Linked DNA regions of Notamacropus eugenii. The protein of the gene in region 2 interacts with the protein of the main gene of each other region in a biochemical or structural test. Links are inferred from orthologs where the notes say so. Each region holds a gene or a part of one and is shown on either strand. Other genes may lie near its edges. The genes, in order: GDF5 and BMPR1B.

What was found.
Region 1: the proteins of BMPR1B (region 2) and GDF5 interact in a biophysical measurement, tested with the Homo sapiens proteins (3 studies listed by BioGRID and IntAct, with this or other methods). The link is inferred for Notamacropus eugenii from reciprocal best matches to the Homo sapiens genes BMPR1B and GDF5.

What each region holds. Positions count from the first base shown.
Region 1 is NC_092872.1:419,486,058-419,494,309, reverse strand, and holds the start of GDF5 (growth/differentiation factor 5), read left to right. Parts: upstream 1-4,887; 5' UTR 4,888-5,391; coding exon 5,392-6,010; intron 6,011-7,482; coding exon 7,483-8,252. UniProt on the Homo sapiens protein: Growth factor involved in bone and cartilage formation. During cartilage development regulates differentiation of chondrogenic tissue through two pathways.
Region 2 is NC_092878.1:132,073,739-132,082,680, reverse strand, and holds the start of BMPR1B (bone morphogenetic protein receptor type-1B), read right to left. Parts: upstream 3,575-8,942; 5' UTR 3,378-3,574; intron 1,263-3,377; exon of another isoform or gene 1-1,262. UniProt on the Homo sapiens protein: On ligand binding, forms a receptor complex consisting of two type II and two type I transmembrane serine/threonine kinases.

The DNA.
Region 1 (8,252 bases), on a different chromosome or scaffold from region 2:
CCATGCTCCCCTAATTTGCTTATGTTACCACCCTGTATGTCTAAATCATGTACCCATTTTGACATAATCTTAGTGTACAGTATGAGAACTTGGTCTATACCTAGTTTCTGCCAAACTACTTTCTAGTTTTCCCAGCAATTTCTGTCAAATGTTGAGTTTTTACCCCAAAAGCTTGGATCTTCGGATTTATCAAACACTAGGTTACTATGGCCAGTTACTATTATGTATTAGCCAATATCAGATTGTTTTGATGATTACCACTTTGTAATATAGTTTGAAATCTGAAACTGCTGGGTCACCTTCTTTCACACTTTTTTTCATTGATTCCCTTGATATTCTTGATCTTTTATTCTTCCAGATGAATTTTGTTACAATTTTTTTCTAGTTCTATAAAGTAATTCTTTGGTAGTTTGACTGATATTGACGATACCCCCTTGAACTTTCCTTGAGCTTTCCCACATGGCCTAGTCTTTGGCAGTTATCCTTTCTACTGGCCTTTCATTGGCCCTCCTCCTAAACCAGGGCAGCTAGGTGGTGCAGTGGATAGAGCACCAGTGCAGGAGTCAGGAGGACCTGAGTTCAAATCTCACCTCAGACACTTGACACTCACTAGCTGTGTGACCTTGGGCAAGTCACTTAACCCCATTTGCCTCATCCTGGATCATCTCCAGTCATCCTGATGAATATCTGGTCACTGGATTCAGATGGCTCTGGAGGAGAAGTGAGGCTGGTGACCTGCACAGCCCTCCCTCACTCAAAACAAAGTCAAGTGCAAGTCATGTCATCATTTCTCTGATGGCATGGTTTTTTTCAGCAGCGAGGGACAAACCACACACACCTGCCAAACCTCCAGTTCTCTGTTACCTCTAATGTAGCACAGCCCTTCATTGTTACCTCCCAATCACCCCAGCCACCTCTCATCCTTTATTCCTTCTAGACCCTTTCTTACAGTCATTCCCATCCAGATATTCCCACTTCTTGACCACTGTATATAAGGTTCATTTTGTCTCTATTAAAGTGCTCAGATTCCTTAAGAATCTGGCCAATGGCTCAGATTCAATCTAGTCTGCTTGTCAATACAAGTGTCACAATATTGTGGATTCTTAAAATCTTGCCTAACCTGATTGATGTTTTAATAAACCTTGTCTCAGACTGAAAGAAGTCTTGAGTTGAATTCATTCGAGGCAGGACCTATGTTGTTTGCCTTGAATTTTGGGGTCCCGGCACCTCTAGACCTCAACAGTATGGCACTGAATAAGTAAATTAACTTGAACAGAATTGTCATTTTTATTGTATTGGCTCAGCCTACTCATGAGCAATTAATATTTCTCCAGATGTTTAGATCTGCCTGTATTTTTGTAAAAAGTGTTTTGTAATTATGTTCATATAATCCCTGGGTTTGTCTTAGCAGGTAGACTCCCAAGTTTTTTATATCGTCTGTGGTTATTTTAAGTGGAATTTCTTTTTCTATCTCTTGCTGCTGGATTTTATTGGTAGTATAAAGAAATGATGATGATGATTGTGGGTTATATTCTGCAACTTTGCTGAAGTGATTGTAAACTCTTTAAGAGTTTCTGATGAACAAAGCTGTGTGCAAAGGGCTGACCAATCAGAAAATGTGGAATCTCATAGGATAGTGTTGGATTTGAAGTCGGAAAGATAGATTCAAATTTTGCCTCTGACATTAACTAGCTATGAGACCATGGACAAGACACTACCTCTCTGAGCCTCAGTTTTCTTGTCTTTAAATCGGAATGTTGTTGAGGCTCAAATAAGGTAATTTATGAAGGTGCTTTACAAACTTTAAAACACTATTTAAATGTCAATAATAATTACTAATAAATACTTGTTGATGGATTGATTGTCTGAATCTCTTAAAGGTCATGTTTTCTATTCCAGGACTGTCTAGCTTGTGTTGACCTAAGATAATTGACATGGGTAGAAGCACCTTAATGGAGTTAGAGTATAAATCAGGGGCTCTTGCTAGTTGACTACCCAGTTAGGCTTTTAATAACTTTTCAGTGATAGATTCACCTTATACCCTGACGAGTAGGAAAAGAACCAGGCTGGGGAGTCAGGTGACAGATTCTAATCTGTTTCTTTCCCCAACCTGCAGGATGAAGTTATAGCCTCTGTTTCTTCCTATGTAATATGGGCATGATAATCCCTGCCCTTCCTAATTCACGGGGATAATGAGATTCAAATGTAACAATCAATAGGTAATATTCTACAAAATGAAAAGTTTTCTACAAACATAAGGGTTTGCAAAAGAACAACATATTCACTGATGGTAGTTATCGAAGTGGAAGACAGCCTTAAATAGCAATAAAACTGAGGTTTAATACACTGGGAATGGCGGTACTGCTTTGTTAAAGCACCACCTTCTTTTCTTTTAACAAACAAATAATAAAAGCGAACACTTGCAAGTACAAACATTTGCAATCAGATTTTTGTGTTGTTTTGAGTAACTTTTTGAAAGATTTTATATTTTGTTTTGTTTGTGTGCTTTAAGACAAAATTTATTAATAGAAAAACCAAATGTAAGAACTTGCTATTATTTTCACGCCTTGAATTTCAGACAGAATGACTGCTTCCCAAGGCTCCCTTGCTCTGCCTAGAGTTAGACATTAATATTGTTGACATATAAGGGAGACATAGGGGGAGATGGGGGTGGAGTGGGGTGGGGGAACCAGGGCTCTGGGTCCCAGTAATTAAAGATGTCGGCACTGCCAGAGGCAGCATCTGGTTGCAATTACCAAAGGGGACAGAAGTGATTAGTCACCTTTTTAGTAAGAGCCAAATGTGTCCCTTGGGCATTTCCCTTGAGAGTGCCTCCCACCCTGTCCCCAAGCCTTTCCCTCTCTCCCCCTCCCCATGCCTGAAAGCCCCGTCCCCACTGATAATGTCCTATGTTTTGAGGGTGTTTAATATCTCCAGTATCCCAGTGTGTTGGAGGGAGTGAGAGGATAGTCTCCAAGGAGTCTCAGAGCAGAATACAGTCAACTATGAATTCTTCTACTGCTTTTTAAACTTGATTTTTCTACTATGGATTTCCTGCAGCTTTTGTCCTGAAGTCTCCCTTACCCTACAGTCTTGTTTCAAGGTTTTACAACTCATTTGTTCACCATTGGCCCCATTTGGCACCAAGGGCTAAGGCAAAAGTAACATCATAAGCATTAAACCCAGGTCTTCTGATGTTTGATTCCACAACTAGACCAGTGAGCACAAGATAGGTTTTGTTTTTCCTTAAGATTTAATTGAAGCTTGGGTCATTGCAATGGCAAAGGCAGTGGAAGACTCATTTCTCCAAGGATAACTTGAAGTTGGGACAGCATGAGTAAAATTGTTCTTTTCTTTCCTAGACTTACCATAGCTTCTCCTCTGTCCAAAAGGCAAGAAACTTGAGCTAAAACTGACTCTGGATAGTTTTCTAAGATCAATGAATTGCTAAACTAGCAATCTCTTGTTTGGAACTGTTGGCTGAGTTTGGGGCACCTGGTAAAGATAGAGCTCTTTGATGTCTACTGTCCCATTAATCCTGGAACAATGAAGACAATATGCTTTATAGTTGTAGGCTCCCAGATCTCAGCAGCTTGAAGGATTTGGATAAGAGCTATTGTAATGTGACAAATCCTGTACACCCACACCTGCAGCTAGGTGGTGTCAGTGGTTAGAGTGATGGGTCTGAAGTCAGGAAGACCAAGTTCAAATTCAGCGTCAGACACTGACTGCTTGGGTGACCCTGGACCAGTCACTTAACCGCTACCTGTATCATTTTCCCCATCTGTAAGATGGAGATAATAATAGCACCTACCCCTTAAGATTGTGAAGATAAGGTGAGCGGATGTTTCTAAAGGGTGCTTTGCAAACCTTAGAGAGCCATATAAATGCATTTTATCATCATTATTATTATTATTGCACCTGGACTAAAATATCTTCTTCATTAAGATTCCCACCCCTGCCAGACTGCAATGTCCTACCTAGTATCGACCTCAGCTTCCACAAAAGTGCCTGGCTTTCGATTTGACATTTTAAGAAACACCTGAATTTCCCCCATGTATGTCTCAAGAATGAGGGGCACCTTGAATTATGTGGTGAGTTTCCCTTGTCCTGCAGGGGTCACTGCTGCTCCAGGACTGGGTAAATCCCGTCCCTAATGAAGGGCTATCCAGTCTGCTAACTGGTAGGAACTTGGGAGCAGCCTATGCAAACCATCTCCACCAACGTCCCCTGCGGGAGTGGGGTCCGAAAGGGGTGGCATACACAGGGTGACATTCTGGGGCCCAGGCATCCTCTGAGCGTTTTCTTGTGGGATAGAAGAAGGCATATCGGTCTCCAGGTCATCTCAAGTTTATTAAAATAAAAGGAGCTGTTGGTAAATACTACTGACTGTTACGTGCCCCCTCCGTTAGGCCCCAGACTCAGAGGCTGAGTAGTAACTACTTTAAAAACACTCCAAGGACTTGACTTTGAAAACCTAGACCCGCCTCCCCCAATCCACCCCCCCCCAACCCCCCTGCCCCGCACTAGCCTGCCGCCCCCTCCCCCTTGGTGGTGTGCTTTAAGAACCGTGAATTGCTTTCTCCTCTGGATGGGGCTGGCTCTGCACACCCCAGGTGGAGGCCCCGTGCTCCTCCCAAGGCTCCAGGGCAGTCCCTGGGCATGAGGGTCCCACTGAACCGCCCACCCCCACCCCCATCCCCGGTGTGAGTCACCGTCCGTGAAAAGGCAGAGACGACTTTTTTTTTTCTTTCACATAAATATATCGTACTTAAATTAGTTTAGACAGCATGACATCAGAGAGTAATTAAATTGGTTTTTGTTGGAATTCCGTTTCCAATTCCTGAGTTCAGGTTTGTAAAAGATTTTTTTTTCACTGAGCACCTGCAAGCGGGTGTGTGTGTGTGTGTGTGTGTGTGTGTGTGTGTGTGTGTGTGTGTGTGTGTGTGTGTGTGAAATATTTTCACTGGAAAGGATTCAAAACTTAAAAAAAAAAAAAAACTGGAGCCCAGAGGCAGCATTACGCCATTCTTCCTTCTTGGAAAAAACCCTCAGACTTAAAACAAGCCTCCTTCAAACTCTCCGTCAGTCCTGCAGGAGAAAAGGGGCGGTCGGCTTTCTGCTTTCAAGAACGAGTTATTTTCAGCTGCTGACTGAAGACGGGCGCACGTCTGGATACAAGAGCGTTTCCACTATGGGACTGGATACAGACGCGCAAGAGGCAGATTTAAAGAGTCTCAGACTGAGGAGAAAGCCCTTGCCGCTGCCCTTGCTGCCGCTGCCGCTGCCGCCCTTGCCTTCCAGGTTTCGTTCCTTTCATGGTTTCTCCTGCCAAACCAGAGATACCTTCGCCGCTGTTCTCTTTGGTGCCAATCAGCGGCAGGTTAGAGGATGAGACTCCCAAGACTCCTCGCTTTCTTGCTCTGGCACCTGACTTGGTTGGACCTAGATCTTATCAGCACTGTTCTGAGTGCCCCAGACCTGGCACAGAGAAGCTCAGGGTCCAGACCGGGATTGGCCAAGGCAGAAGCCAAGGAGCGTTCCCCCCCGGCCAGAGGCAGCTTCAGGCCGGGGGGACATGGCATCAGTGGGGCAGCCACTAATGCCAGGGCAAAGGGCAGCGCCAGCCAAGCTGGAGGCCTACTACCCAAGAAGGATCAGCCCAAAAAGATGCCCTCGAGATCCGGAGGTCCTGAGCCCAAGCCAGAATTCCCCCATGCAAGGCAGTTGGGAGCCCGGACTGTGACCCCCAAAGGGCAGCTCCCTGGTGCCAAGGTTCCTCCAAAGGGCGGCCCCAGTTCCAGTACTTTCCTACTGAAAAAGGCCAAGGAGCCAGGGCCCCCAAGCGAGCCCAAGGAACCATTCCGACCACCCCCAGTCACGCCCCATGAGTACATGCTCTCCCTGTACAGGACGCTATCGGATGCTGATAGGAAGGGAGTCAATGGCAGCGTGAAGCTGGAGGCTGGGCTGGCCAACACCATCACCAGCTTCATAGACAAAGGGCAAGGTGAGAGGCAATGCTAACCCCAGGTCAAGGAGGGATGTCCAGGGGAGTGTGTTTATCTCCCAGCTACCAGTTACACATGCCAGAGGTTACCTCTTGTATTATTGTGCATCTGGTTGTGTGGGCTACATGCACTAGGACATCGAATTGTAGGACATCAGAGCAGGAAGGGACCTTAAGGTTCATCCAGTGCAGGTCCATGAGTTTGCAGAGGAGAAAACTGAGGTTCAGACAGGGCAAGAGACTTTCTGAAGGTCATAGTGCATTGGTTGCATGAGCTGGGATGAAAACCTTGGTATCCTGTTTCTCAGTTCCTTGTTCTTTATTTGCATGGACTCTCCTCCCTTAGTTCTAGATGAAGCTAGATCAGAGGTGAGCGTTGGGAATGTTGAGGGGAACAAGGGATTCATTGCAGAGGAGATGGAATTTCAGCTGGGGGATGGTGTGGGAGAAGAGCACTGTCAATGAGTCCTCCTGTCCTAAACAAAGCTAAATGGTTTGGTACTTTCATACATAACCCAGGAGAACTTAGGTTCTCCTTATTTTTTGTAACTGTGGTGCTCAAATTCTTCTGTTTCAATCTGACCGCTTAACTCTCTTGTGATCTTATATAAGGGACTTACTTTTTTGAGTCTTAATTTGTCCCTATATAAAAAAATAAGGAGGTTGTACTAGAAGATTTCTAAGGTCCCTTCCACCTATGAGTTTCTAAAATTCTATGATTCTTAGAACTTCTACTTGAGTGCCTTCTGGGAGGGAGTTTAAGGAAGGGGGAGAACATATTCATTAAACATTTGATGTTGGGGGAGGGGGTGAGACTGAGCCAGGCTCAGTGGCAGCAAGCCTGGTTGGGGTGGGGGAGGTAGGCTGGCTCTGTGCCCAGTTAGGGAAAGCTGTAATTCCTTCAGGACTCATAAAGTAAGTCCCCATGTCCCCTAGCACTGAAGTTGCTCAGGGAGGGGAGATGAGGAGTTTAAAAGTCCAATTAGTCACCTTCTAGGCCAACATGTGAATACTCCCTGGTGGCAAATTGGTGTTTAGGTAGGATAACATATTCTGACATATACTGAAGCTGTGTCATATAAGAACATCCTTTGAATGATCATCTATAGAGATATATTCACCTACCCAATGAGTAAAACACATACAGTTCACACACACAGAACATGGGCTTCAACATAGTTATACATTCTCTCTGTCTCTTTCTCCCATGATACACACGTACCCTGAGTATAGAGGACATCAGAGGACATCACACACTTGCTTGCATGTTTATGCCCACAATGGATTTGGTAATGTACTTGTTGTTTAGTAAGTTCTCTTCATTTGTACACTCTCAGAATAGAATGTGGGGTCCCAGCTTCTATCCTAGTGGAGAAAATGTTAAGTAGTTTTCTTAGATTCAGTAGCTTCTTCCTGTACATTACAGAGACTCTGCAGGAGCATCAAGAATGATCCTATTTCTTTCTCTCTAGATGACAGAGGTCCTGCAGTCAGGAAGCAAAAATATGTATTTGACATCAGTGCTCTGGAAAAAGATGGGTTGTTGGGAGCTGAGTTACGGATCCTGCGGAAAAAGCCCTCAGATGGGTCAAAGCCATCTGTCCCTGGGCGGCCAGCCCAGTTGAAGTTGTCTAGCTGTCCCAGTGGCCGGCAACCAGGCATCTTGCTTGATGTACGTTCTGTACCAGGTCTGGATAGCCCCCGTTGGGAAGTGTTTGACATCTGGAAGCTCTTCCGAAATTTTAAGAACTCAGCTCAGCTGTGTTTGGAGCTGGAGGCCTGGGATCGAGGTCGTGTCATGGACCTACGTGGTGTGGGTTTTGACCGAATTGCTCGTCAGGTCCATGAGAAGGCCTTATTTCTGGTGTTTGGCCGCACTAAGAAACGTGATCTGTTTTTTAATGAAATTAAGGCTCGTTCTGGCCAAGATGATAAGACTGTGTATGAGTACCTATTCAGTCAGCGTCGGAAACGGCGGGCCCCACTCACAACACGTCAGGGCAAGCGACCCAGCAAGAATCCCAAGGCCCGTTGCAGTCGCAAGGCACTGCATGTTAACTTCAAGGACATGGGCTGGGATGACTGGATCATTGCACCCTTGGAATATGAGGCCTTCCACTGTGAAGGACTCTGTGAGTTTCCCCTTCGATCTCACCTGGAGCCCACCAACCATGCTGTCATCCAGACTCTCATGAACTCCATGGATCCAGAATCTACCCCTCCTACCTGCTGTGTACCTACC
Region 2 (8,942 bases):
GAACTCTTCTCTCAGAACAATATTCTACAAAAAAAGACATTCAATAAATATATTTATCTATTGATATCTCTCTAATATTAACCAAAAATAAGGCCTGGAATATAACACTATCTCCCTCAACCAGAAGCCATACTTTTGGTAACCTCAGCTATCAAGTTTTTGTGAACTTATAAATTGGAATTGAAAAAGGCATCTGGGCAGTGAAAACAGCTGTTGGAACATCTATTATTTTACTTCCTAGAATAGGCCCCTTGTAGACTATTTACTCATTATGATTCTAAGAAGTTTGGTTATCTGGTTTCTCAGCACATAGCAGATTAGACTCAACAAATTAAAAGTATCAGTGAGCTAACAGTGCCAATAAAAAAACCAGCAGAAAAACTATAAAACTAGACATAAGAACTCAAAGCACAGCACTTTGGCACCCTAGGAGGAGCAAACAGGCTCTGAGGGCATTTGAGAAGTCTCCTAGGAAAAGGTAAATTATGCCAGTGAACTCTCTTTAAGAAGCTATTTATTGGATTACACAGAGCATTTATAAAGGATTCCCATCAAAATGAATAAAAGTTTTAAAGACTGTTCTTGGAGCTTCAGTGACTTATGGGCTTTACTCATTTTTCTTGATAGTTAACTAAAAAATAAAGATTGTTTCATGCTTAGGAATAATATATGATTATCAGCACTTCTCCAGGGATAATTCAACACATGGTTTTTATTGTTCTGCATTAGATGAAAAAAGATTAGCTGTACCTATATCTGCTTCTACTTTATAACCAGATACATTCACTCCTATTTACACGAAAGCTAAAATGGAAAAGCATCTTAAGAATTATTTGCCATAGAAGCATCTTGAAATGCTTTGCTCTTTCTGAATATCAGCTGTAAGGAAATAGGAGTCTATAGGCTCTATTTCAATTAATGTCTAACCAAGTAAAAGAGAACGTTATATTACAAATTTTAGTCTTTCACATTTAATCAATAATTGCCATTATACAAAAAGTACTTCTGATCTAATAGCAATTCATCAGTGTCTCCCATCTGGTATTCCAAATTTAGATAAAAATCACAACTATCCTACCATATAGTTCAATTTAAAGTATGTCTCATGTATACAATTTCTGATTATAGACTTTTTGAATATCAAAGTAATTTCCAACAACCTACAGATGACCAATCAATCAGCTCCTCCTACCATGAACCTAATGAGGGCTCAGGAAAGAACAACTAATCTTAATACCCCTCTCTCCAAAAAAAAAAAAAAAAAAAAATTAGGAAGGTAAATCTGTTAGGGGGAGTGGATACAAGGGGACAGAGAAATATCACTGGCATTATTCATAGCACACGTCTCCATCAGCAGACGTAAATATATTAAATTTTTTATGTGAAAATAACTTTATGAGATCTTTGAATTAACAAATAATTTTTAACAAATACTCTTTACTTGAAGGAACTTTTCAGAGAAGTATGCAATTATTTTGCATTTACAAATCTATAAATACTAGAGTCACAGACTAATAGTAAAAGAAATTCACAAAATACTGGTGGTTCCACTCAACAGGTCAACAATATTTATTAAATCTATTCCACTTGCCATAGCATCACCTGAAAAACACAGATGGCAACTCCCCCCACAAGTGATGATTCATTAACATAATATAATCATCTCTTAAACAGCAAAAATTAACATTTTGATTTTCAATCACAAATTAGTCCCCCCCCCCCAAAAAAAAAGAAACCCACAGTAGCCTGGAAGTAATACAATCAAAGTAATGAAATCCACTCAACCAAAAGGAGCCCATTTTCTAAATGATAAAGCAAATTAGACAAATGACAGTGTTTGAAAGTTCTGGCAGCCAAGACAGTGTTTGTCATGTAAAAAAAATCCCACAAAGCTACATTATGTCTGGATATCAAAAACATTTTTAAAACGGCTGTTTCCAATAAATGTATGTGTACACACACACACACACACACACACACACACACACAGAGCTACCTACAACATACAGTCTTTTTGGATTATACACTGATCTAAAAATTGTTTCCCCAAACACTAGGATGTTTCCTCTTTTTAAATTACTGTTACATCTTTTTCTATTTTCTTTCCATTCCAAAATAATTCCCATCATTGGAGAGTAAAGAAGTTAGAAACAAACCGCAAAGTCTAAATAAGTCGAGATATTTTCTAAAGTACCTGTGTTCTATTTGATGGGGATGACCCCTCACTCTCACCCCCAAGAAATGGTTACGATTGCTCCCTGGAGAAGTTCAAGATACATGGAAGTAAAAAGAAACAGATTGTTATCCATTTTAAGACAACAAAGAGATTTCTAAAAGAATTTTTCCTAAATGTCCTTTGAGGCTTTTTCTCGTTTCCATCTCTAACTGGGCCTTCTTCTTTTTTACAAGTTTTTTTGGAGCGGTACTGTGACTTTTTGTTTTTTAACAGTTGGCTCTCTCTCCCCTATGCTACAGAGGCTTTTCGGTCCTGTGACTTTATCTGAGATCACCACCCTCCTGCTTCTTCTCCGTGGGGGGCTGACCTCACCTTCATGCGACCCCCAAATACAACTGATCGCAGGGAAAAATTCTCCCCCTGTTTTCTAACTGGCTTGGTGTTTTTAAAAAGTTTTCCATGCAAGCTGTGGCTACTGTATCCAGGGAGGGGCAAAGACAACTGCCTTATTAGCACCAACTAGCAATTGATACATCGGAGAAACTGAATGTATCTCCTTACGGGGCCAGGGAGGAAAGAGCCCTGCCCCAACCAGAAGCAGAACCACACGCCCACTAGGGCACACCGGTGGGGGTCTGGGTGTAAAGATGCCACCGCATTATTGGGGGGCTCTGGCTTTGAGACAGACACACAGGTGACTTTTTGCAGAGTCCAGATCCCCTCCACGTCCTCCCGACCCCCCAAAGTGGACCCAGTCTTTCCAAGGCTCCCGCAGCCCCGTGGCGATGGGAGGTCTCCCCAAACCCACTCACAGACTGGACGAAAAGTGTCTGCCCCTTCTCCCTCCCTCCTCTCCTACACACCCCTCCTCCTCGTGGAGCCCGTCTCCCCGGCTGGGATGGGGTGGGGGGGGGGTAAGAGGGGGAGAAAGCACACATCTTCCCCCCCAAAAAAGTTAAACGACCTTGCCCGCCATGTCAAACAAACTCTCTTAGAAAGGTAGCTGCCCCTCTCCGCGGGAAGCCCACCCCCGCAGCGCCCCCGCTCCGGGCATCCGCCGAGCCCCGACTTCTTTCTCCAAGGGGCACCCCGAGCCCTGCGCTCTGCCCCAGCGGGCATCTACGAGAACCCTCCCGCCCGGGGCAGAACCCTGGCTCGGACTAGCGTCAAGCACGGGAACTTCGCAATGTTCCCAACTCACCGGGCTGCGCTCGGACTCGAAGGTGAGGGCAGTGCCCGCGGGCTGAGCCGGGCTGCCGCTGCCCCCCGCGTCCGGACCACACGGCCACGTTCCGTCCGTGGGTGCCGCGGTGAGAGCCGCAGCCGCTGGCGTTCTCCTGCACACACTGGCTCCTGGGCGCCTTGCCCTCTCCAGCTCCCACTAGTGATGGAACGGTGAGAGCCAAATGCTTAGCAGCAGGATTATGTGTCTAACCCATTTTGATATGCACTAAAAGGACACGCTTCTGCTTTGGGGACGGAAGATGTACGTGGAGAACGGGGCTCATCAGGCAATAAACATTTATTAAGCGCCTAACCGCATGCCATAATGGAGCTAATGTAACGACAATTAAACAGTTAAACAGTCCCTGCCCTCAGGGTACTAGCATTTGTAGCATCTGCTCTCCTCCCCCTTACACATCCTACTGCAATCATGTAGGTTTCACTTATTTTAGAGGCTCCCCCCCCCAAAAAAAAGATTTAGGAAGGTTTGGAAAGAAATATTTGGGGAGAGGAGAGAAAGAATCTTTTTCCCATCCATGAAAGTGATTATTTCCCATATATTAACACCCTGCTAAAACTTTATGGAATTCATAAAAGATATGATCCCCTCACTTAGCAATATGAGTAATTAAAGGACTAGAATTTGGGAGATTTTTTTCCTCCTTCAAGTTAAAGCATTTATATTTTCATAAGCTGTCTGAAGCCACCAAAGGGTAGCAGAGAATTTTTCTGATGTATTCGGAGATGAAGTTATAACCATTGGGGTATTTTATTTATTTTGGAACCTTTGCTACTCATTTCATACTTGTGTGGCTTGGCTAGTAGCATGAGTGTGGTAACTGAATGTTGCCTGCCTAGAATACTAGTCAGAACAAGGCTAGAGGGAGTTCTATGGTTCCAGGTCTTTCTACCTCACACTGAGATCTGTCTGCTTATAACTGAAATATAACTGGAGCCAAGTCTTGCTCATTTTCTTTTTCTGCCTTCATTCATTTTTAACTTTTTTCTAAACTTACTCCTGTATGCATATATTCCAAACAGATAAAGTCTGGCATTGACTGAATCTTGACTCTACCTTACCATACGACTCCCACCGATGACTCCCAAAGCACCGTCCTTAGAACTGATTGCCCCTTTTCCTGCTGTCCTTGCCATTTTATTTTAAATCAAAAAGCCATGGCTTTCTTTGGAATGTTGAACATACAGAGAAAGAACTTGGGAATTCCAAATTTTAAGTCCTATCCACTATCTCCAGAGAGTTAAACTAATGCAGAAACTCAGTTGAAACAGTATTTCAAGACGTAATTTAAATGTCCTGGGCATTGACACGGGTACTGTAGGTAAAAAACAAAGCGCAACAAAAAAATTCATTGCTTGATGAATAACCATTTGGTAATGAGCTTAGAACTTCATTGGTCTTCAAACAATGGTCCTTACAGCCTGGTGTGACCTGCCAGATCTTGCATTCCTATGGTCTTATCATGTTTATTTATTTAGTAAATATTTGGATTTGGGTTTGGGTTTTTTCCCTTTACAGCCTTCTCTGAATATGTCCCCAGCCATAGAAACCTCCTTTGTAACAAAGAAAGCAGTAAGCAAAACCAATCATATCAAGACCACAGGGTATGCAACTTTCTGTACATATAGTCCCCCACCTCTCTTTGGAGAAAAAGACCACATAGGCTTACCTTCATGCCACAGTGAGCAAACTTTATGAATCTTGACTGTACAAAATCATGGGGGGAAATGGTGAAAAGGAAGAGATGCTACAAATGCCTAATTTTATTCATATTGATATAATTTTTATCAATATGAATTTAGATACCTTCAGAATTAACATGGGCACATCTTCATTAATTAACTTCTGGATTATATATCTTCAGAAATTAACTTACTATGTATTGTCATTATCTTTAAGATAATATAAGTAAACTCATTTAGCAAAATTTAATTTTAAGTTTCAGTTTTTGAGGGTGACCATACATAATCTGAGTCATATTTCTGAGCCATCTTTATGGATCCACAAACATAATTTCTAAATCCCACCCAGAAAAAAAGGTAGAACAAAAAATTGACAAAGCTGGCAAAAATTAATTATTATATATATTTCTTCTTTCGAACGCATGATGACTTTTTTTTCTTCTAAAATGATTTGTCACCTTTGGTTATTTCTTTTCTACCTATTTCTTTACTACTCTTATAAAAGGATATCTATGTATGAGATAGGTGGAAGTATATATAATTTCCATCACTGGAATTAGGAACAAAGAATTTAAGCAAGGAAAACAAGTTAAAGGCATTTTTATGGATTAGCTCAAGAAAATAAGAATGTCATAGATGAAAATATAGGTTGTCAAATCAATGTAGCCCAGCACAGGACCTACTTCCCAAACTTGCATCTGCTTTTATTGGCCCCCAGTATATTGGGGACCCCAGAGAAACAACCACAACCTGACCACACATTCACTAAGCAAAGCACAGAGCTAAGCAGGTGCTAAAGGAAATACAAGTCAAGTATGTCTACAGATTATATGGACCAATAGAAATCACTTAATTAAGAGTTATTGTTGTTTGTACTTTGTTCTGAAAGAGGACCATGTCATCAGGAGAGTGATAATCAAGATTTGCAGGTGAATTGGATTTAAGCAAGCAAGGGCTGTGCAAGCATCACTCTTTCCTACTGAGACATCCGAGTCTAGGAGCAAGATGTAGATTAGAATGACTGGAGATGGCCCAGGATACAGTGGGAGACCTTGGCCTTTCTAAAGCTAAGGTCTCAGTTAGCCTGAGGCAAAGGCCATTCAGTGATTAAGACTAGGTAAGAAATGAGGCAAAGAATGGCCTTTTTTAACTAGTAAAAAAAAAAAAATGGCGATGGGGGGTTGGGGGGGAGAAGACCCTCAGGGTTTCTGGCCAAAAAACCAAAACAAAACAAAACAAAAAACGGAAACAATTGCTATTGATACTCACTCTGAGCCATCAGATTTTCCTCCAAGATTTTCTTGATGATGTCTCCTCCCGGTACAATAGAAATTTAAGACAGTATACACCAAAATTTACTATCCAAGATTGTATTGTAAAAGTAGCAGGTGAACAATATATAAGGTTGAATCATGGCTGAATCAATTTTTTTTTGTCCATGAAAAAACTGAAAAACTCCAAATACAATGAATAAAGTAATAAGGACTTTTTAAATTTAGAAAATACTCAGTATTCTCATTCAGTTTGCATGAAGAATTAGTGGGCTAGTCGATATCCAAACTTCCAAGTAGGGGGAGGAGTTTTTAGATGCTATAATTCGAGAAAAAGTACAGCCAAAGTAATTTGACTGGGTGATTTGAGTTTAGATCCCCCTCAGGACTGGGAGGCTAATGATGCCCTTCAGCAAGGGTATGGCCATCTTTGTGTAGAGTTAAGAGAGGAAGGAGTTACAAGTGGAAGAATAGGTCATAGGAAATGAGGAAATTGAGGAAATGCAGTTTCCACATCTATAATCCCCAGGGTTGTTGTGAGGATAAAGTATAATATATGTAAGTCACTTGTCAAAGCTGTAAATCATAGTTGTTGCTGAGAACTAAGAATTTAGTGTGTGAGGGAATATCAGTATGTATTTTGAAGTCTCCTAAGCTGTATGGTGGGGAAAGGGCAAGCTACCTAGAATGGAAAGACTGTGAGCCAGACCCTAAACTCATTGAGGAGGAAAAGAGTGTCCTAGTGGTAGTAGATAACACCTAACAAAATTTTATTTGAATAAGAAATATGCATTGGATGAACTTCAGAGGAGAAGAGATTACTGAGGTATTAGAAGAAAGAGATCTTGGAAGTGGCAAAAGGGAGTAGGGAGTATTATCACTCATTCCCATGAATGAGTATGTGTATGAGTATGTGAATGTATAATCAATATTGGAATGTATAATCAATATTGGAAAGGGTGGCCAGACTAGGGTGCTTAATCTTGGCTTCACCCCCTAGCTGCAATGTGAGTTTGCCTATAAAATTCACCTTGTTTTCCTAGACTTGTTGCCATGTCTAAAAAAATGAAAAGGTTTGACAAGACGATCTCAAAGTCCCCTCTCCAGCCTTTGAACCTGTGATTTAAAATATCAGCAACCTACTCCATCCTTGACCACCTATCACTAAAATAGTGTTGGAGGCAACTGACATATTTCAATCACTTAGATAGCTTGGATTGCAGCCTTCAATCAAGTCCAAGTTCAGGAAATAAACATCACAACACATAGTAGTGGTCACACAACCGGAATTCTTGAAGCCCTGTTTCTGAGATGACGTTGCACATTGATACCTAAATTAGAACATTTATTTATATATTGTTTGCAGCCTTGGGCAAAGTACTAAGAATATAAAGAAAGGGAAAAATGCAATCCCTGCCTCCCCATCCCATCCCCCCATACACAAGGAATTTATATTCTAATGAGAATTCATTAACTTGGATTTTCTCCTTTAGAATTTATCCTAACTTATATTGTGGTTGAGAGTAAGCTTCTGGTCATGAAGAAGGAGTTTGCTAACCATAGTAAAAGTAGCATAACTGAGCATAAACAGAATTATAGAGCGCTTATTCTATGTAGTGTCCCAAAAGTCTTAGTGCAACTGAAAACTGCACTAAGACTATTTCTGAAAACAAACTACTAAGTCCCCACCTAAAACAATTATTTTCATAGATTTCAAGTCATTCTTAGATATTTATCTAAGGCAGGGTCCAAATCTAGGTAGCATTATTAGCTAAATGGGAATTAGTGCTCTTTAAACAAAGGGAATAAAAATTTATATCTCTTTTAAAATATTCTGCACTTCTTACTGAATACCACTTTAGTAAGGTAACACAATAAATATTTCAGTCAATAATCTTTTAAGTGTTTACTGTGTGCTGGGCATGGCAAAGCAATGAGGATTGTCACCTAAAAACAAAGAGACAAAAAAAGAGAATGGTCCCTGCTCTCAGGGAGCTCATAATCTAACAAATATGGACAAATAAGCTATAGGCAGCATGAATAGGAACTAATTTTAAAAAAGAAGGTACTAGAATGAAGAGGGATTGGGAAAAGCTTCCTGTAGAAGGATTTTTAGTTGGAACTTAAAGAAAACCAGAGAAACTAGTAGGTAGAGATGAGGAGGGAGGGAGCTGAGAGATGGAGTGTTAAATTAACTTTTATCCTTTGTCTTCATTACAATGCTAGATTTGGAGTCACCTTTTGTTCCCTCATTCATCTTCAGTCTCTCCCTCCCAACTGGCTCCTTCTATCTTGCTCAGATTTCCCTTATCCTGGAGGGCGGAGCCAAGATGGCGGAGTAGAAAGATGCACATACACATAGCTCCGAACCTACAACCCATAGAACATCTGTAAAAAGGAACTCGCTGCGAATTCTGGAGCAGTAGAGGCCACAGAACAGTGGAGCGAAGGAGATTTCTGTTCCAGAGGGACCTGCAAACTTCTCGCAAAAGGTCCTTTGCGCCACGGAGTGGGCGCCGGGACTGGGAGCCGAGCACAGCCCTGCCATGCCCGCGGCACTGAGAGGAGCA